Linked DNA regions of Schizosaccharomyces pombe. The gene in region 3 interacts genetically with the main gene of each other region. Each region holds a gene or a part of one and is shown on either strand. Other genes may lie near its edges.

What was found. Genes that interact genetically often act in the same process or in processes that back each other up.
Region 1: of mcm6 (region 3) and cig2, a mutation in one rescues a mutant of the other (synthetic rescue), as found in Schizosaccharomyces pombe (2 studies listed by BioGRID, with this or other methods).
Region 2: of mcm6 (region 3) and bir1, extra expression of one rescues a mutant of the other (dosage rescue), as found in Schizosaccharomyces pombe (one study listed by BioGRID).

Annotation. Positions count from the first base shown.
Region 1 is NC_003424.3:2,708,260-2,714,695, forward strand, and holds cig2 (G1/S-specific B-type cyclin Cig2), read left to right. Parts: upstream 1-1,522; 5' UTR 1,523-2,820; coding exon 2,821-4,056; 3' UTR 4,057-4,793; downstream 4,794-6,436. Other genes in the region: mitochondrial [2Fe-2S] cluster assembly and transfer glutaredoxin Grx5, read left to right, coding at 1-187, 520-610; P2 type calcium transporting P-type ATPase Pmc1, read right to left, coding at 4,794-6,436. UniProt on the Schizosaccharomyces pombe protein: Essential for the control of the cell cycle at the G2/M and G1/S (mitosis) transition. Interacts with the cdc2 protein kinase to form MPF. Interaction with res2 promotes the phosphorylation of res1 and inhibits MBF-dependent gene transcription.
Region 2 is NC_003421.2:545,272-551,315, forward strand, and holds bir1 (survivin Bir1), read right to left. Parts: upstream 4,029-6,044; 5' UTR 3,878-4,028; coding exon 3,749-3,877; exon of another isoform or gene 3,702-3,748; coding exon 837-3,701; 3' UTR 534-836; downstream 1-533. Other genes in the region: tricalbin, C2 domain protein (phospholipid binding) ER-plasma membrane tethering protein Tcb1, read left to right, coding at 1-473; importin alpha family nuclear import signal receptor adaptor Cut15, read right to left, coding at 5,202-6,044. UniProt on the Schizosaccharomyces pombe protein: Component of the chromosomal passenger complex (CPC), a complex that acts as a key regulator of chromosome segregation and cytokinesis.
Region 3 is NC_003423.3:3,879,597-3,884,816, reverse strand, and holds mcm6 (MCM complex subunit Mcm6), read left to right. Parts: upstream 1-1,759; 5' UTR 1,760-1,820; coding exon 1,821-4,499; 3' UTR 4,500-4,719; downstream 4,720-5,220. Other genes in the region: gamma tubulin complex GCP4 subunit Gfh1, read right to left, coding at 1-884; sap10 (splicing factor 3B), read right to left, coding at 1,222-1,393, 1,449-1,531, 1,594-1,596; gea1 (guanyl-nucleotide exchange factor), read left to right, coding at 4,977-5,220. UniProt on the Schizosaccharomyces pombe protein: Acts as a component of the mcm2-7 complex (mcm complex) which is the putative replicative helicase essential for 'once per cell cycle' DNA replication initiation and elongation in eukaryotic cells.

The sequences.
Region 1 (6,436 bases), on a different chromosome or scaffold from region 3:
TAAAGGCGATTCAAATTCTTTCATTAGAAAACGTTGCTTCCGATAAATTAGTTACGTACAACGTTTTGAGTAATGATGAGCTACGTGAAGGTATAAAGGAGTTCAGCGACTGGCCTACGATTCCTCAACTTTATATTAACGGAGAATTCGTGGGCGGTAGTGATATCTTGGCGTCCATGCATAAATCGTAAGTAATGTTTTAAACTGTATTTTTATTATTTGGTAGAGAGACGGTGAGGATTGAGGAGGTGTCATAGGAAATGTTAAAGATGATGAAGGAGGATTCTACAACTGTTTAATCACTCTAGTTGATATTAAAGATAAAAAAACCCTGTTATATTTTCGCTCTTTCTTCAAATGAACTTTCCCTTTTAAAGCATTGGATAAAAATCAACTATTAGTGTATCAGTGTCTTTAATTCGTCGTCTATATATGCCACATTGTTCTCTCCCTCATTTTTTCTCTCATATTTAATTATTTCTCCTTGTCAACATTTCTGTATTAACAATTTGTCTGTAGAGGAGAGCTTCACAAAATTCTAAAAGAAATAAATGCTTTGGCCCCTGAACAGCCAAAGGATAGTGAAGAGGAAACTACTAAAAAGGATTGAGTCCACATTGCAAATTAATTTGCACAACGTACCACGGTCTTGTGCATTTTTTAGTTTATTGGTCAACTTGACACCACAGGCCATGTATATCAATCAGACGTTATTCAATTATCTTTTTGCTGTACGCTTGATATTCTTTAATGAAGCTTTGAAATTCTGTTTCTCCTCTTTTTTGTGTTCATGCCCTTTCATGACAAAATGTTGGAAATAATGTAAAAGAGCTCTATAAGAAAAAATAATTTTTATCGGAAGTTATTTTTTGGATCAACCTCAATATCAATTTGAAAGCGATCATGTTCATGTTCATGTCCATCCAAATGACATAGAGAATGGAAATTAGTGTCGTGATTTATGCCTTATTGTTATTCCTTGACTTTTTTTTTAAAAAAAATGTCGTAAATTAGATTTAATGTTAAAGCGCTATTGCTGAATACTGTTTTATTTTGCTTATGTTGTTGCACAGAACAATGTCTTGGTAGGTGTAATTCACAGAAAGCATTACGATTGGTTATCTGATATGATTTAAAAATTCTTCTTTGATTATATAAAGTACTGGCTTATCGACGTTACGAGACGTTTACCAAACTTTTATTAACAGATGCTTGTGTTTCTTGACAAACAACATTATTCCTTCCAAGCTCAGCATATAGCGAATTATAGTGTAACTGCGATATAAAGTATTAGCGAACTCTCCCTTTTTAATTCTATTCAAATTGCGTTAGTTTGTGTAGCATGTAATGACGGCACGCGCATAGTGAATTGTAATATACAAAACGCTACACCAAAGCGCGCGCTCTAAAACACGCCAAAACGAGGTGCACGCAACTTAGCTTGCGCGAAAGCGCGTTTCTCGCGTCGCGTCGCGTTTACTTCTTTTATATGCTTGCTATGCCTGTCTTTTGCTTTTTCACTGACACTTTGACTTGTGTTGAGTTACAAGAAAGGCTTCAAAGGCACTTGTACAAGTGTAATTTCCCTTTTACAAGACTCTACCAAAGGTTGGATCCACCTTGAAGTCCTTCTCTTGTTGTCGCTGCTTTTTGCGTTTCTTCTTTTCTCTTTGAATATTCCTTCTTTCTAATTTCTTTTTTCAAATACATGCTATAGGGATCAGTTTAGGCTCCATATACTAGGTTGAGCTGGTTTTAACTGTAAACAATAGTAAATTAAGCTTTCAGTATTTTGAGTGTCAAGCTAGTTTTTACTCCGGAGTATCTTATTTCTACTGTACTTATTTTCTTTTAATTAATTTTTTACACTTTTCAGCTGCTAAGTGTCGGTTTCTATTGTGTACTTTACCGTTTTAAGTTTCTTTGTTTTCTTTGTTCTGGTTCGCTTATTGTCCTACTCTTTTACAGGAGGCGCTTGCCAAAGACAGTCATTTCTCTTATAACAAGTACACTATATCTTATTAAAACATAATTAATCGTCCCCTTTCGATATTAGTGCAACAATTGCTATCCTACAGTCTTCCCAATTGCAATTTATTTAGCCTTTCAGCATTGCTCTCGCCCTCAAGCTGAAAAGGTTTTACTCGCTTTTCTTGCTGGAAAAATAACACCTACATTTGTTATTCTTTTAAATTCGAACTATCAAACTTATTTGCTTGTATTGTTCGTCTTAGTGCTGCTTTTTCTGATCCATCGTTTGTTTATCAAACCTTCAACTTTGCTTTTTCTAAACTAATTACAAAGAAGTGTTCTTTTTAATTCTCTTCGTTAATCATTGTCCCTTTAAACTACGCTCTTGTGCTTTATAAGAGTTAATTCTGCATACCTCAAAGAGGTAAATTCATTTTCGAATCGAACGTTAAAAAATTTATCTTTACTTTTTTTTCTTTCTCAATTTTGATTACATCTGCTTGTTTTTTTTTTTCGTTTATATCCACAACAGTAGGTTGGTTTGGTTTGTTTACACAATTCATTTGTTTATGTTTGGACGATTTCTTTCCCTTTCTTCCTATCAACAACAATAGAATAATTCGGACCCATTGATTTATTCTCATTTAAAAGAGAAACTTTAAAAATTCGCTATAAGTGCTTTCTGTTTCTCGATCGCTCAATTTCCCTAATTTATCCATCTTGTCAATTGAGATTAATTTACCAAAAACAGTTTCCTTATTTTAATAAAAAGAAGACATTTTTGGTTACAAACAATCAGATATATTTCTATACGTTGATAAAAGGGTAATTTATCAATCCATATTTCATATGGCTCTCTATTCAATTTCAAAGCCTGTTGGTTCTAAAATCAATAAGCATAGTTATCAAGATGAAAACACACTTGTTGGCAAACAAGCTTTATCAAAAGGGACTGAGAAGACAAAATTATCTACAAATTTTGAAATTAATCTGCCACGTCGAACTGTCCTATCTGATGTTTCCAATGTAGGTAAAAATAATGCTGATGAGAAGGATACGAAAAAAGCGAAAAGATCGTTCGATGAATCTAATTTATCTACAAATGAAGAAGCTGATAAACCTGTCGAATCTAAATTCGTGAAAAAGTTGAAAGTTTATAGCAAAAATGCGGATCCATCTGTAGAAACTTTACAAAAGGACAGAGTCTCTAATGTTGATGATCATTTATCCTCCAATCCTTTGATGGCTGAGGAATACGCACCCGAAATATTTGAGTACATCAGAAAGCTGGATTTAAAGTGTCTTCCCAATCCAAAATATATGGACCAACAAAAAGAATTAACCTGGAAAATGAGGGAAATTTTGAATGAATGGTTGGTGGAAATACATTCCAACTTTTGTTTAATGCCCGAAACCCTTTATTTGGCAGTCAATATAATTGATCGATTCTTGTCGCGTCGTTCATGCTCTTTGTCTAAATTTCAATTAACAGGCATTACTGCTCTTCTCATCGCTAGCAAATATGAGGAGGTTATGTGTCCTTCGATACAAAACTTTGTTTACATGACTGATGGTGCTTTTACCGTAGAAGATGTCTGTGTCGCTGAACGTTATATGTTAAATGTTCTCAATTTTGACTTGTCCTATCCAAGTCCTTTAAATTTTCTTCGCAAAATATCTCAAGCAGAAGGTTATGATGCACAAACAAGGACATTGGGGAAATACCTAACAGAAATTTATCTGTTTGACCACGATTTATTACGATATCCTATGTCTAAAATTGCTGCTGCCGCAATGTATTTGAGCCGCCGATTATTGCGTCGCGGCCCATGGACGCCAAAGTTAGTTGAAAGCTCTGGTGGGTATGAAGAGCATGAATTAAAGGAGATAGCGTATATTATGCTTCATTATCATAACAAGCCTCTAGAACACAAAGCCTTTTTCCAAAAATACTCCTCAAAAAGGTTCCTGAAGGCTAGTATTTTTGTTCATCAACTCGTCCGTCAACGATACTCAGTCAATCGTACGGACGATGATGACCTTCAATCAGAACCGTCTTCTTCTTTAACAAATGATGGTCACTAACGAACGCTCTTATAAATTTTCTTACGCAAATATTCTGTTGAATATGAGGTTGAGCTCTTCTTTTATTATTTATTATCATAACTTATTTACTTTTTAAAGAGCTTCTTTTTCTTCTTCTCTTTCTTTGAATCTTATCATCTTTATGCAAGGACTGTTTTCAAGTATGTCATCAAGCCTTTCCTCCTTGATAACTAAGTCCTTAATTATATACCATATACCCAAGTTTTATCCAAGAGTTTTAGAATTGAAAATTTTGTAGTCTACTAAACAAACCGTGTTGATGCTTAATCCTCACACATTGTCTTTTAGATGATTCCGTTGATTCTAGAGTATTCGATAATTTCATTCCTTACTTTATGTTACGTTTACATTTTTTATTTCAAAATACGTGTACGTTGTTTCCTCATATTTCTGTTAAACAACATGTTTCTAATTAATGGAGTTTTCTTTATTCATTCATAAAACTTAAAGCTCAAGCGGTATATAACAAACTGGCTAAACCATTAATAGGCAAAAACCAAGTAACTCATAAAGATAAACAAAGAAAGTAGACATAAGGAAAAAGGTAAAGCTGACTCGTTTTCTATACAAAAAGGGAATTTTTAAACCTAAGAAACAAACTTTTAATTGATAACAAATATAGAAAAAGAAGGCGATTTCCAACGAGAATAAGGAAATAAAAAAGAAAAATTCGATAATAGAATCACTGTTATTCTGTCTCATACATTCGTCTTAAATTAATGAACATTTGAGCTTTTTTTATCGAGAGCTTGGCGATTGTGAGAAATCCAAATGTCATGCCCACCTAATCGTCCGCTGGCTTCACTAACAAGTGTTGAGATAGGAATCATTAAAGCTACGCTAGTAGCTGAAGAAACAGAAGGTGAACGGATCTTCATAAATCTCTGTTTTACACGGGGACGAAGACGTTCAGGAAGCGCTTCCATCTGTTTATCAAATTTGGAGTTGTTGAGTAGGTGGCGTATCCTTCCTCCTCTAATGCGTTGAACGAAGCCAAGGGAATGACGAATAGAGTCAATAACTTCGTTGGGAGATGTGGGTTCATACGGGATAAGACTAAGGGATTCAACATCATGATCGGTTGAACGGCGCTTAGAACGGAACCTAGGATTTAGAATCCAAGAGAAAACAGTGTCAATTGTCTTAACCGGAAGGACCTTTCTTAGGAAATTGTTTGGTACACAACGAATCAAGGCTCCAAGTGGGATAGAGATAACACCAAACACGATGGAAATCGCCCATCCTTTACCATCGATTCTTTTTACGGAGAATGCGGCACCTCCGAAAAAAACAATTATAACTTGGATACCAGCAACAATAACGAAAATAGCAATAAAGAGGAAGTTATGGTTAATACGTTCAAAAATATTGAGCTTGTTATCCAATCTCCGATTGTTAATTTCGTTAAACAGCTGGAGCCAGACAAAGGTATTGAAAACAATAGTATTCATGTCCGCAGTATTGGAAGGGTAATGGAAGATACTATTACCAGCAAAGTGTAGCACCAAAGTAACAGCAAGTTGGTACATAGATTGACAAATAATCATTTTCCACATGTCAAAAGTAAAAAGCGATGCACCTGGTTTCTCAGGTTTCCTCTTTAACACTTCAGGAGTAGGAGGGTCAGTGGCAAGTGCAAGAGCAGCAAGTGTATCCATAATTAAATTAACCCACAAAAGCTGAACAGCAGTTAAAACAGAGCTTTGGTCAGTCGAGGCAACAGCAGAGATAATAGTCAAGAAAACAGCCGTAATATTCACGGTAATTTGAAATTGCAGGAATTTTTTTACAGCGTCGTTAACGGTTCTTCCCCAAGCAATTGCTTTCACAATTGACGAGAAGTTGTCGTCCATAAGGATAATATCGGACGCCTCCTTGGCAACTTCGGTTCCCGATTTACCCATTGAAAAGCCGACGTTAGCTTTTTTTAGTGCAGGCGCATCATTGGTACCATCACCTGTAACCGCTACTACGTTACCAAGCTTCTGCAGTCCTTCAATCAATAACTGTTTGTCCAAAGGAGATGAGCGTGCAAGTACATCTAATTTGGGTAAGATTTCTAAGCGTTTCTCATCAGAAAGAGATCGAAATTCCGGTCCTTCCATGGATATTCCATCCTCTGTGTAAATTCCGCACTGCGAAGCAATAGCCTTAGCAGTAACAATATTATCACCAGTAACCATACGAACAGTCACCCCTGCACCTTGGCAAACCTTTACAGCCAAAGGTACATCTGGCCGAATAGGGTCCATGATACCGAAAAATCCTAAGAAAGTCATGTCTGTAAATGCGTCTTCCCATTTCAAAGGATTAGAACTATCCTCGTCATTGGTGGGAATATCTTTGGGAGGCCAAGAGT
Region 2 (6,044 bases), on a different chromosome or scaffold from region 3:
GCATGTTTAGGCGTTCCTTGGAAAAGAATCCATCTCGCTCTGATCTCACGACAACCCAGGAAGCTTCTTCTTCTGCTTCTGTGCCACCGGCTATTGCACCTGAGTCTGCAAACGCTGCCTTAACTAGCACTATTGACAAGACTACGGGAGCACCTGAATTGGCACAGAAAAAGTATAAAGTATACGTTGGTCAAGGTAAAAATATGCCTCATAAGACTATAAAGATTATCGTTACAGACAATCAAGACCACAGCTTTAAAACCAAATCTCGGAAAGGCCCGTCTCCCTCATGGAACGAAGAGATTCCGGTCAAATGGAGTTTGGGTGACGAACTTCGAATTTCAGCCGTTACTTCCAACTTGCTTGGACATACTAAACTGGGTGAAGCGGTATTTCAAGAAGATGCTATTGGTACATTTAGGGTTGTAATTGGTGGTTCATCTTCTGTTGAAATTAAGGTCGAAGCTGAGTAGTATGGGTAATGCTTCCGGTTCTTTTCAACGTTCGTTATACTTTACTTTCACTATCTTGTTGTTTAATTCATTCTATTCATATTGACTCAAATATAGTACCATATTTGTATATTGTGCTGCCAAAAAAATAAATACTATAAGAAGAATTATTAAGACTACATCACCAGATTAGCGTAGTGTTGATATAAATACAGATAATAAGAGGATCCGATTAACAAAACAAGAAACATAAAAGAAAAAGAAAGAAAAGGACGCTGACAGTGCATTCAGACAAATTTAGTTCACATTACTTTAAAATGTAGCCCGCCAACATTTTCGCTTAAAGCGAGACGGTCCATAAATACAGAAACACAATATGTAAAATTATAAGTTTTGTATGTATTCTTCCGCCCGCTTACCTTCTTCCAGTAACCATTCTATTTTTTCTTCACAGGCTTCTTCAAACTCTTTTGCACATTTAGCATACATAAATTTAATCCACTGCTCAACGGTCATATCCAGTTCTTTTTCACTTAGTTTGTTTGGCTCTACAGGATTCGGTACTGGAGATTCTAATAGACTCGAGAAATCTATGGGTTCCCATGGTGGTGCATTTGCTTCAACTAAGGGCAAAGCATGTTTTGATTTGACAGGAGTTTGAGGAGCCAAAAATGAAGATTGGCACAATGGATCAAATGGACTGATCGAATGGTCATAGTAGGATTCATCTAAAGGCTTCCGGACACTTGGCAAATTTATACTCGTTACTTCTTTCTCAGCGTAAGTTTTAGCGAAAGCTGAAGAGGTTTCACAAGAACCAGGTGAAGTTTCAACATCCTTTTTACTTACATTATCGATTTTATCTACCTTCGTTTCCTTCTCAGGTGTATTTTTCGACACTGATCTAGTACCATTCTGTACAGAAGTCCTAGAATTTTTGATTTCTTGATCAGGAAAAGCATCACTTAACGAGACTTTGTCTACCTCAGTCAATTTTTCTTCAATCTTTTCAATATTTTCTAATTCATGGTTGGCCTCCTTTTCTTGCAATTTATCAGAAGTTTCTGTATTAACAGCTTCAACGGTTTGATTGTTCTTGCTCTGTAGCTTAGGAGAATTAATGTCATCTTCTTGAAATGTCACTTTTTCGGAGTTTCCGACGTTTCTGTCAGGAAGATCCTTTAAGTAACTTCCTGATTCAAGTTCATTGGGTTGTACGATCGGCTGGGGATCCAGGCTTGAATGAACATTCATGACAGTATGACCAGAATTAGCTTCCTCATGATTAACATTTTCACTTTTTTCATCGGAAACAGGACTTGATACGTCTCTCGTCTTGGTCACTCCTCTATCTATAGAAACTCTAACCGTTTGGGACTCATCGCAAATGGCCTTTCTTTTTTCCTCAGGAAGCACTTCGCTAATTTCAGTTTTTGGTTTTTCTATAAAGTCCACTATTGATGTATCAAACTTTGTTTTTGATGTTGAGGTACTTTTTCCCTTCTCTAAAACTCCGCTTACAAGATTATCCTTCCTTTTAATTGCTAAGAGAGGAATTAGATCAATTAAAGGTTTGTCATCATTTTCAGATTCAGAAAGCAATTGTAGTGACTGTTCAGACTCCATACTCTTATTCTCAAGATCCTCAAATTTACTAACGTGAATGGCAGTTTGGCTGTCCTCTGTAACTTTTACTGGTTCATGTGAATCCTCAGTAGACGAAACTAAAATGTTTTTAGATTGTAAAACTTCTTGAAATTTTCTCTTCTTTTCAGGAATTGGTATTTTCAAATTGGTCTCGTCATTTTCATCATTTGCTTCTTCCGAGTTTCTCTTTTTTGAAATGTTGCTAAACGAATCTATTGTACTCCTTGGTGAAAAATTGGTTTGTAATATTTTATCTCTGAAGCTTGAAGAAGACACTCTACCTCCTGTTGCAGCATCAGTCATATCGGGAGATGAAGTTGATGGCTTTGAAGAGATTGGTTGTTTTGTGGACTCCTCTATGAACGAACCTTGAAGATTTAAATGCTCATCTTCTTTTTCAACCTTCTGCTGTTCCGGAGTTTCGATAGCAACTTGTTTTTCTGTATGATTTTGCTCTTTACCAACAGAAGAAACAGAAGACGAAATTTCCTTTGATTTGGAAACCACAGATATTTCTTCTTCAATTTTTGATTCGATTTCAATTTTCGGCGGCGTAGACATACAATTATTTTGCTCATCACTTTCATCAGTTACAGATTGATGTCCAGTTATGTCAGAAACAGTTGTGTGGACGGATGTAGCTGGTGATACAAGATGTTCCAGCTCATTATCTTTTTCATCTTCTTTAAGTGGAATTTCTTCTGTAAAATTCTTTTTGGCTACTTGCATAGAGTCATTACATATCCCTTTAGAGAAGGGTTGAGAGGCGGTCAAGTCGTCGTCATCTTCGTCTTCATCAGAAAAAATTGGCTTAACAGGTTTAAAGACTGCTGGCTTTGATTTTTTTGGAGATTTATTTTTTCGCCTTGGAGCCGTAAGTAAAACGGGCTTCGTTGGACTTTGTGGTGCACGGGTGGGTTGTGAGTCTTTCTCCTCAGAGGTATTAGTATAAAGGGACATTGTTAAAGGACGTGCATTAAGATTATTCTTTCTACTAGGGGAGAAATTTAAAGTTTTATGAGATTTTGTTGAATCTCGGGTGGGAGAAACGGGAAGAATGGAATTATCCTCGGTCAAGTCTTCAGGGTCAATGTTCGACGTAGATAAAAAAGACAGTTTAGTAGGAGATAAGCTATTTGGGTCTTTCCATGTAAAAAACACACAGTCCGCACGACGGCGTTTGTGCTCGGTGTAAGGGTCATCATCCGGTTCCCAATCATGAAGATTAATATCACAATATAAGCAATGAGCTGCATCTTTAGCATCAGCAGTTGGATTGTATACAAAACCAGAAGCAGCCATTACACTCGGCTCACAGTGATAATCAGGGCGATTGGTATACGGCCATACTTTATCAACAAAAGTTTGTTCTCGACATTTTGTGAGAGCTGCAGCTTGGGGGTTCTGGTTTGGATTGTTTTTTGAGGATAAAATATATGCCCATGGACAGCTGGGGCTATGAGTAATATGCTCTTTCAATGGATCATCATCATCCTCCCAGTCATAAAATGACTTGGTACACATATAGCATGTAACATTATCAAGTCTTTCTTCAGAATTAGATTCAGAGATTGGATTGTAATAGAAACCGACAGTAGCAAGCTATTTTCTTGTTAGCAACACAGATGAAAACTCTATCGTCAACATACAGTTTCTGGCGTCGGTTTGGCTCGCGGCCATTTTTTTTTCTGGAAAGTGTCAAGTCGTTTAGAGTAATTACACATTTCCCTTCGAAACCGATTCCATCGGCGTTTAGAAGAAGACGTTATCGGTTTCATTCTGAGCAAGCTTCAACAAGTGAAATTTAGATACCAAATTTCGACTTCCGATCCTTAAAACTATAAAATTAATTTTTTTAAAACTTCTGGTTATTGTCTTTAGACAATATCAGATACTTCCAAATGCATAGGATAGGGAAGGTCGCCTCGCAAGGCGTATATGGGTAATGTTTACTTTTTGTAGATTGCTAGGGCACACGAGTTTACTGTAATTGAACAATGTCGTTATATTGCGTAAAATGTCGTTAAGTAGTATAGCAGACTTTAATAAATGGAAGGTTCACTGGTTACAAATTTTTCGAGATGACTAGGTTTAGATATTATATTGAGTAAGGAAGATTCAATTATTGTCTTTAATGTCAGCCTTATGATCTTTGTTAATAAATTCAAAATTTAACTAGAAGATTTTTGCTAGCACAAAGTAATGTATCATAGTTTGGTACTAATATTGTTACATATAATAATATTAAAGCTCCAACTCTAAAGTATGGAGCATCGTGAAAGAAGAATAAGGCTACATTTTCATGGCTATTCAAAGGAAACTATGCATATCAACAAGACAAATCTGATTTCATTTTCCTCTTTCGATGCGATGGTCAAAGTTATGAATACAATGATGAATCAGCTGTCTCATTAGAAAAAAGTTGAAAAGAGGATGACAAATGCGGTGGAAATATTGAACTTCCTAAAACCTCAAATAAAAGTTAAGCAATAGAGGAAGTACAATCATGAAGACAATGTAAAATAAATTAATTGAATTAGTCCCATGTTGTTTCAAAGGTACAAAACCTGTATCTAGTAGTGGAGCAGCCAAAAGCTACAACTAAATCGACAACAAAGACCAAAACTGTTGAATGATTCCTGTGTTTCGTCAATAAAACAAATAATAAACTCACAAAATAACCACGATCTATAAACCATTCGTTGGTTAGAAAGTGAATGAAAAAAAGTAAACAAAAGTTCGTTTCGACACGCACACTCAGGACGGACTTGAGAAATAATTTAACAAGTACAAGATGTTCAACTTTCCAGCACAATCATTAAACAACAATATAACAAAATGAGAAGAGTGACAACTGCGGAATGTATGTCTAGGTAAACCTCCTAAAATGTAATAATCTCGTCTAATAACAATCGCGCCATACACGTAAAGGTAAATGAAAAAATCGGCATCCTCAATTGCTCAATGAAATAATTTAACGATATTATAAACCACAGGACCACAGCCAAAATCATGAAGCCACTTCGATGTTTATGAAAATGAACAATCTAAAAAAGAACGAAACCTAAACAAGCATAAATGAATAATGTATGTGAAGTATCATTACATAGCCATATCTTCGGCATTAGTCGCCGAAAATTGAAAATCGCCGGCAGGCTCTTGTGTAGTTCCAAATGTAAACGTATCACCGACGGTTTCTGGTTCAAGCTCTTCGATTTCGTCTTCTTCACCGAAAAACTTTTCGATAATATTGTAAGCTTTTTGGTAAATTTCCGAATTAGATGAGTTCTGACATTCGTGGATCAAATCCATACCACCAGCATCCTCAACGTAGACGGCGTATAAATTGATTTTATCAGGGTTATTCGCGCGATCAAGTTCACCCACTCGCAAAATATTTTCAATACCATCTAAAGCAACCTGGATAATCTTGTTATCTTGACAAGCCAGCAAATTACATAAAGGTTTGATTGCGCCTTGCTCTACAAGGTAGCGAATTTGGTCGGGACGACGAGCGCCACCGGATGTGGCATTGGAAATGGCCCAGCAGGCTTCCTTTTGGATTTTAAAGTCAGCGGTCGTAAGGAGATGAATTAAAGGAGGAATAATGTTAGCTTCAATAACATATTGAATTTGAGAAGAATTACCGGCCGTTATATTACTAATTGTCCAACAGGCTTCCTTACGAACGCCATCGCGTGGACTGCTTAACAAAGAAAGTAAAGCACTTAAAGCACCACAATTAATGATGACCTGGGTCTGAACGTCATCTCCTGTAACAATATTTCCTACGGATCGGAGAGCAGGAGTCTGTACTTGAGCGCTAGGATGCATTAAAAGTTCAACAAGCCTACGAGGAATCCCTGCATCAATGATGGCTTGGATCTTCTCATTAGCGCCATCAGATAAATAGGAAATGGCCCAAAGGGCATCAACTAAAACATC
Region 3 (5,220 bases):
ACCAAATCGAAAATCTGATGAAACGAAGCTAATTGAAATATTATTTTTTCTGATACCAGAGTGAACATTTCATCTGCTAATTTTGTCACTGAAGATTTCGTTAAAGGCAAAGGCATTTCATATACCAGTCTGTAGAAACATCTAAGAATTTCACAGAAAGCGTCTGTGAAACATTTTTTTGCATTGAGCATACACGTTCGTATTGAAACTAAGCAATTAACGATGTCTTGGGTCAAAAAAGGGACATTATTGCTACAAGATACAAAATCTTTAGTATCACCGCATAAAAACGAACATTTGAAGCTGTCATCGCCGGAATCATTTACCAAATACTGCACTAATTCGTCAAGCCAAGTCTTCTGAAAAGCACATTCACACTCTAAAACCAGCTTTTTAAAATTCAAATGAGTAGAGCCCATATACATATTATGCAGCTTTTGAAACGTAGAAGCTACACTCAAGCATTGAGAAATATTACCTTGAAGTACTAGCAGACTAGATAAAGTTTCTTTCCAATCTGCTAAATGCGCTTCTAATTGCGCCAAGGATACGAATTTTCCGGAACCTACAAAATAAGGATCGCTGGATATAATCATCCGCTCTAAATTAGCTAGACTTTCATCATAAAGAAATAATTTTTTCGAAAGCAGAAGTCTAAGAGCTTTAAGAAGAAACTGGTTTTGCTGAATCAAATCTTCATCAAAAATTTCAATATATCGTTCTATCCTTTTCCTTTTACTTGCCAAAGATACTATGTCATTAATTAATTCTCGTTCACCAGGGTGTAATGGTTGAACAGATGGATGCAGTAGTATTTGACCATTTTTCTCAATAAACAGGCCAGAAGTATTCCCTGCGAGCAACAAAATAATCTCATGCAACATATAATGTATTTATTGTTACAGAGTTTGCATGAAAATATTCAACATATAGCCAATTTAAGTAAACTACTCCAAAGGAGGCTTTCGTAGTAAATGAGATAAATAGCTAAAACTTATTCGTGTTACTTTGAAGGTAACGACTAGGGAATGTCTTGCGTTGTTACAATGAACAATAATCAATGTAGCATTGCATATAATTCAATTAATATATATATATATATATATATATATATATTATTTTGTAATAACCTAGTAGGTACTGTTTATCTTAAACAAACAAAGTCTCAGACGAGCGAAGGTTTAACGACATTAATTTTGGGCAACAGGTAAACACAACACTTTAAAATTGATTAGAAGGGGGAGGTGGTCCACATGGCATGATCATTTTTTCTAATAGGTTTTTGCGAACTTGGACTCTCGGTTCGCCGAGCGCCGTTGCCATATATGCGAGCAACGGTGGATGCCCCACTACAGAAGACAAAGTATCCCGGTGCTGATTTACCATCCATTCACTAGTTTATATGGTGAGCGAAAATTCATTTGTCAAATAAACCGATTAGTACTTACTATTTGGTGGTAAACGCATTACCGACACCAACATAACGCGCTTGTAACTGTTCTAGTTTTGCTTGAGAGCGCAACCTGTCTGCCTACAATCGTTAATAAATGAAAGAAGCATAGAATAGAGATAATTCAAGAATTTTTTTCTTACCATAGTATATATTGGAATATGTGGTATAATGTTCAGACTGGGTTTTTTTAACACATATTGTTAATTGAAACGAATAAGGTATAATACTGTAATTTGCAATTCTAAATTGCGATTTCTAGCGCACCAAAGCAACCACAGAAATAAACGTTTCAAAATAAACATTGCTATCCTTTGACCAAAAACCTGTAGTTGCAGTTTTTTGATAATAGGGAGCACTACACTTGAAGATGTCTTCTCTTGCATCTCAGGGTAATAATGCTTCAACTCCTGCATATCGTTATGGGTTTCAAACTTCAGAAGTTGGGGACAGGCCAACTGTAAGTATGCCTTCACAACCTGAGTCGAGTGCTATGCTCGAGGATGATGGAATGGTGAAAAGGAAACCTTTTGCTGCTATAGGAGAAGCCATACCAAAGGTAATTGATACAACCGGAGAATCAGTACGTGAAGCCTTTGAAGAGTTTTTATTGTCATTTTCTGATGACCGCGTTGCTGGAGGTGATGCTCTCCCTTCTGCATCACAAGAGAAATATTATGTTCAACAGATTCATGGATTGGCAATGTATGAGATTCATACCGTTTACGTTGATTATAAGCATTTAACCTCGTACAATGATGTGTTAGCTCTTGCGATAGTTGAGCAATATTATCGATTTTCTCCTTTCTTACTTCGAGCTTTACAAAAGTTGATTGAAAAGTTTGAACCAGAATATTATAGAAGTTCTCTTTCTCGTGAAAATGCTTCACTTTCACCGAACTTTAAAGCCAGTGACAAAACATTTGCTCTTGCATTTTACAATTTACCCTTTCGATCCACAATTCGGGACTTACGAACAGATCGTATCGGTAGACTCACGACTATTACAGGTACAGTTACTCGTACTTCTGAAGTACGCCCTGAATTAGCACAAGGTACTTTTATCTGTGAGGAATGCCACACTGTAGTTTCAAATGTTGAGCAAGCATTTCGCTATACTGAACCAACTCAATGCCCTAATGAACTTTGTGCTAATAAAAGAAGTTGGCGGCTCAATATTTCACAGTCTTCTTTTCAGGACTGGCAAAAGGTGCGCATTCAAGAAAATAGCAACGAGATTCCTACGGGTTCTATGCCACGAACTTTGGACGTAATTTTGCGCGGAGATATTGTTGAAAGGGCTAAGGCTGGTGACAAATGCGCATTTACGGGAATTCTTATTGCCGTTCCAGATGTCTCACAGCTAGGAATTCCTGGTGTAAAGCCAGAAGCTTATCGAGATTCTCGCAATTTTGGTGGTAGAGATGCAGATGGTGTGACAGGACTGAAGTCTTTAGGTGTACGTGATCTTACATATAAACTATCTTTTTTAGCTTGCATGGTTCAACCAGATGATGCAAATGATAAAAGCGGTGCGGATGTCAGAGGGGATGGTTCTCAAGGGATCGAAGAGCAAGATGAATTTTTGCAATCGCTTTCTCAAGAAGAAATTGATGATTTACGTGCGATGGTGCATTCAGATCATATTTATTCTCGTTTGACAAACTCACTGGCTCCCTCTGTTTATGGTCATGAAATAATTAAGAAGGGGATTCTTTTACAGTTAATGGGTGGTGTTCACAAGTTAACTCCTGAAGGTATAAATCTTCGTGGCGACCTGAACATTTGTATTGTCGGCGACCCCAGTACTTCGAAATCACAATTTCTTAAATACGTTTGCAATTTTCTTCCTCGTGCAATCTACACTTCTGGAAAGGCATCATCTGCGGCCGGTCTCACAGCTGCAGTTGTTAAGGACGAAGAAACTGGGGATTTTACTATAGAAGCAGGCGCTTTAATGTTGGCTGACAATGGAATATGTGCTATAGATGAATTCGATAAAATGGATCTGTCAGACCAAGTTGCTATTCATGAAGCAATGGAACAACAAACGATATCTATAGCAAAAGCTGGAATTCAAGCTACATTAAACGCACGGACATCTATCCTTGCTGCTGCAAATCCAATAGGTGGCCGCTATAACCGAAAAACAACTTTGCGGAATAACATCAATATGTCTGCTCCTATCATGTCACGGTTTGATTTATTCTTCGTTGTACTAGATGAGTGCAATGAATCAGTTGATAGACATTTAGCTAAGCATATTGTTGACATTCATCGTTTACGGGATGATGCCATGCAACCTGAATTTAGTACTGAGCAACTTCAACGATATATCAGATATGCAAGGACTTTCAAACCAAAGTTAAATACAGAATCTTGTGCCGAAATTGTTAAAAAGTACAAGCAATTGCGGATGGATGACGCGCAAGGTGCTGGTAAAAATTCATATCGTATTACCGTGCGACAACTGGAGTCAATGATTCGTCTATCAGAAGCCATTGCAAGAGCAAACTGTGTAGATGATATTACTCCTGCATTTGTCAACGAAGCATACTCTTTATTACGTCAATCAATTATCCATGTGGAAAGAGATGATATTGAGGTTGAAGAAGATGATGCAGAGGCCCAAGAACTTGAGAATGATAATACTAATACAACAAATGGCAATGATAATGTTTCTTCGGAAGAAGCTTTGCAGAAACCAAAAGTAAAAATTACTTACGACAAATATGTTTCGATTATGAACGGAATATTACAGGTTTTACGCCAGCGCTCTACTGAAGGTGTAGATGGAGTACCAGCGGGAGACCTAGTTCAGTCATATCTCGAGCTTAGGGAAGACCAATTCCATACCGAGGAAGACATCATCTATGAGGTTGGTCTTGTGCGTAAGGTATTAACCAGGCTTGTTCACGAATCGATCATCATGGAAATTCAAAATTTAACTGACAGCGCCGTGAGGCTTCCTTTTGAAGAACGCGTATTTTCAATACACCCTAACTGTGACATTGATGCTCTACTGAGCAATGGCGATGTTCCGAACTAAGGTTATAAAAGATTCGTAACGATCTCTTATAAGTTTTATCAGTGAGGCGTATTTTTGAAACAGACCTGACATTAATTGTTGAAGCACTACTTTAATTCACGAAATTGGTGTATTTTTTTTTTCCTCACTGCATACCGTAGAAACCCTGATTTGTTATTTTAATCTTTACACTCTTTTTTTGTACTTTTATTCACTAAATTTGATAATACTATTGGATCCTACCGAAAAATATATACTCATTTTCCTGATCTAGACATTTATCAGATTAATCTATGTTTATTTCAAACATATAACCCAGGTAAATTAGTATAGTGATACGTTAAGCAATGTTAATATGTTGAAGCATATCTGCTGAAATCCGTTCAACACCAAAGGAAGGGTGAGACTGTTCAGGACTAAACCTCTACGCTATTTACAATAGTAAACACCTCAAGTTACTTTTTATAAAGACTCTTGATTAGTAGCTACAGAAGGGCTATGGAAGTGCCTCGCGCATCTCCTAACCAAGAGCCGTTATGTTCGATTTCACCGTCCTCCTTGGTGATCAATGAAATTATAACTGTCGTGACGGCAATTAGAAAAACCACGAGATGGAGGAATTCTGGTGTTGCATCCATTTTAGGAGTCTCAACACTTAAAGACGAATTTCTGGCTGATGGTTTAGAAAGCCGATGGAAAACAAATGGCGAAAAAAGCAGTAGTATCCGATATCCATTGGTTA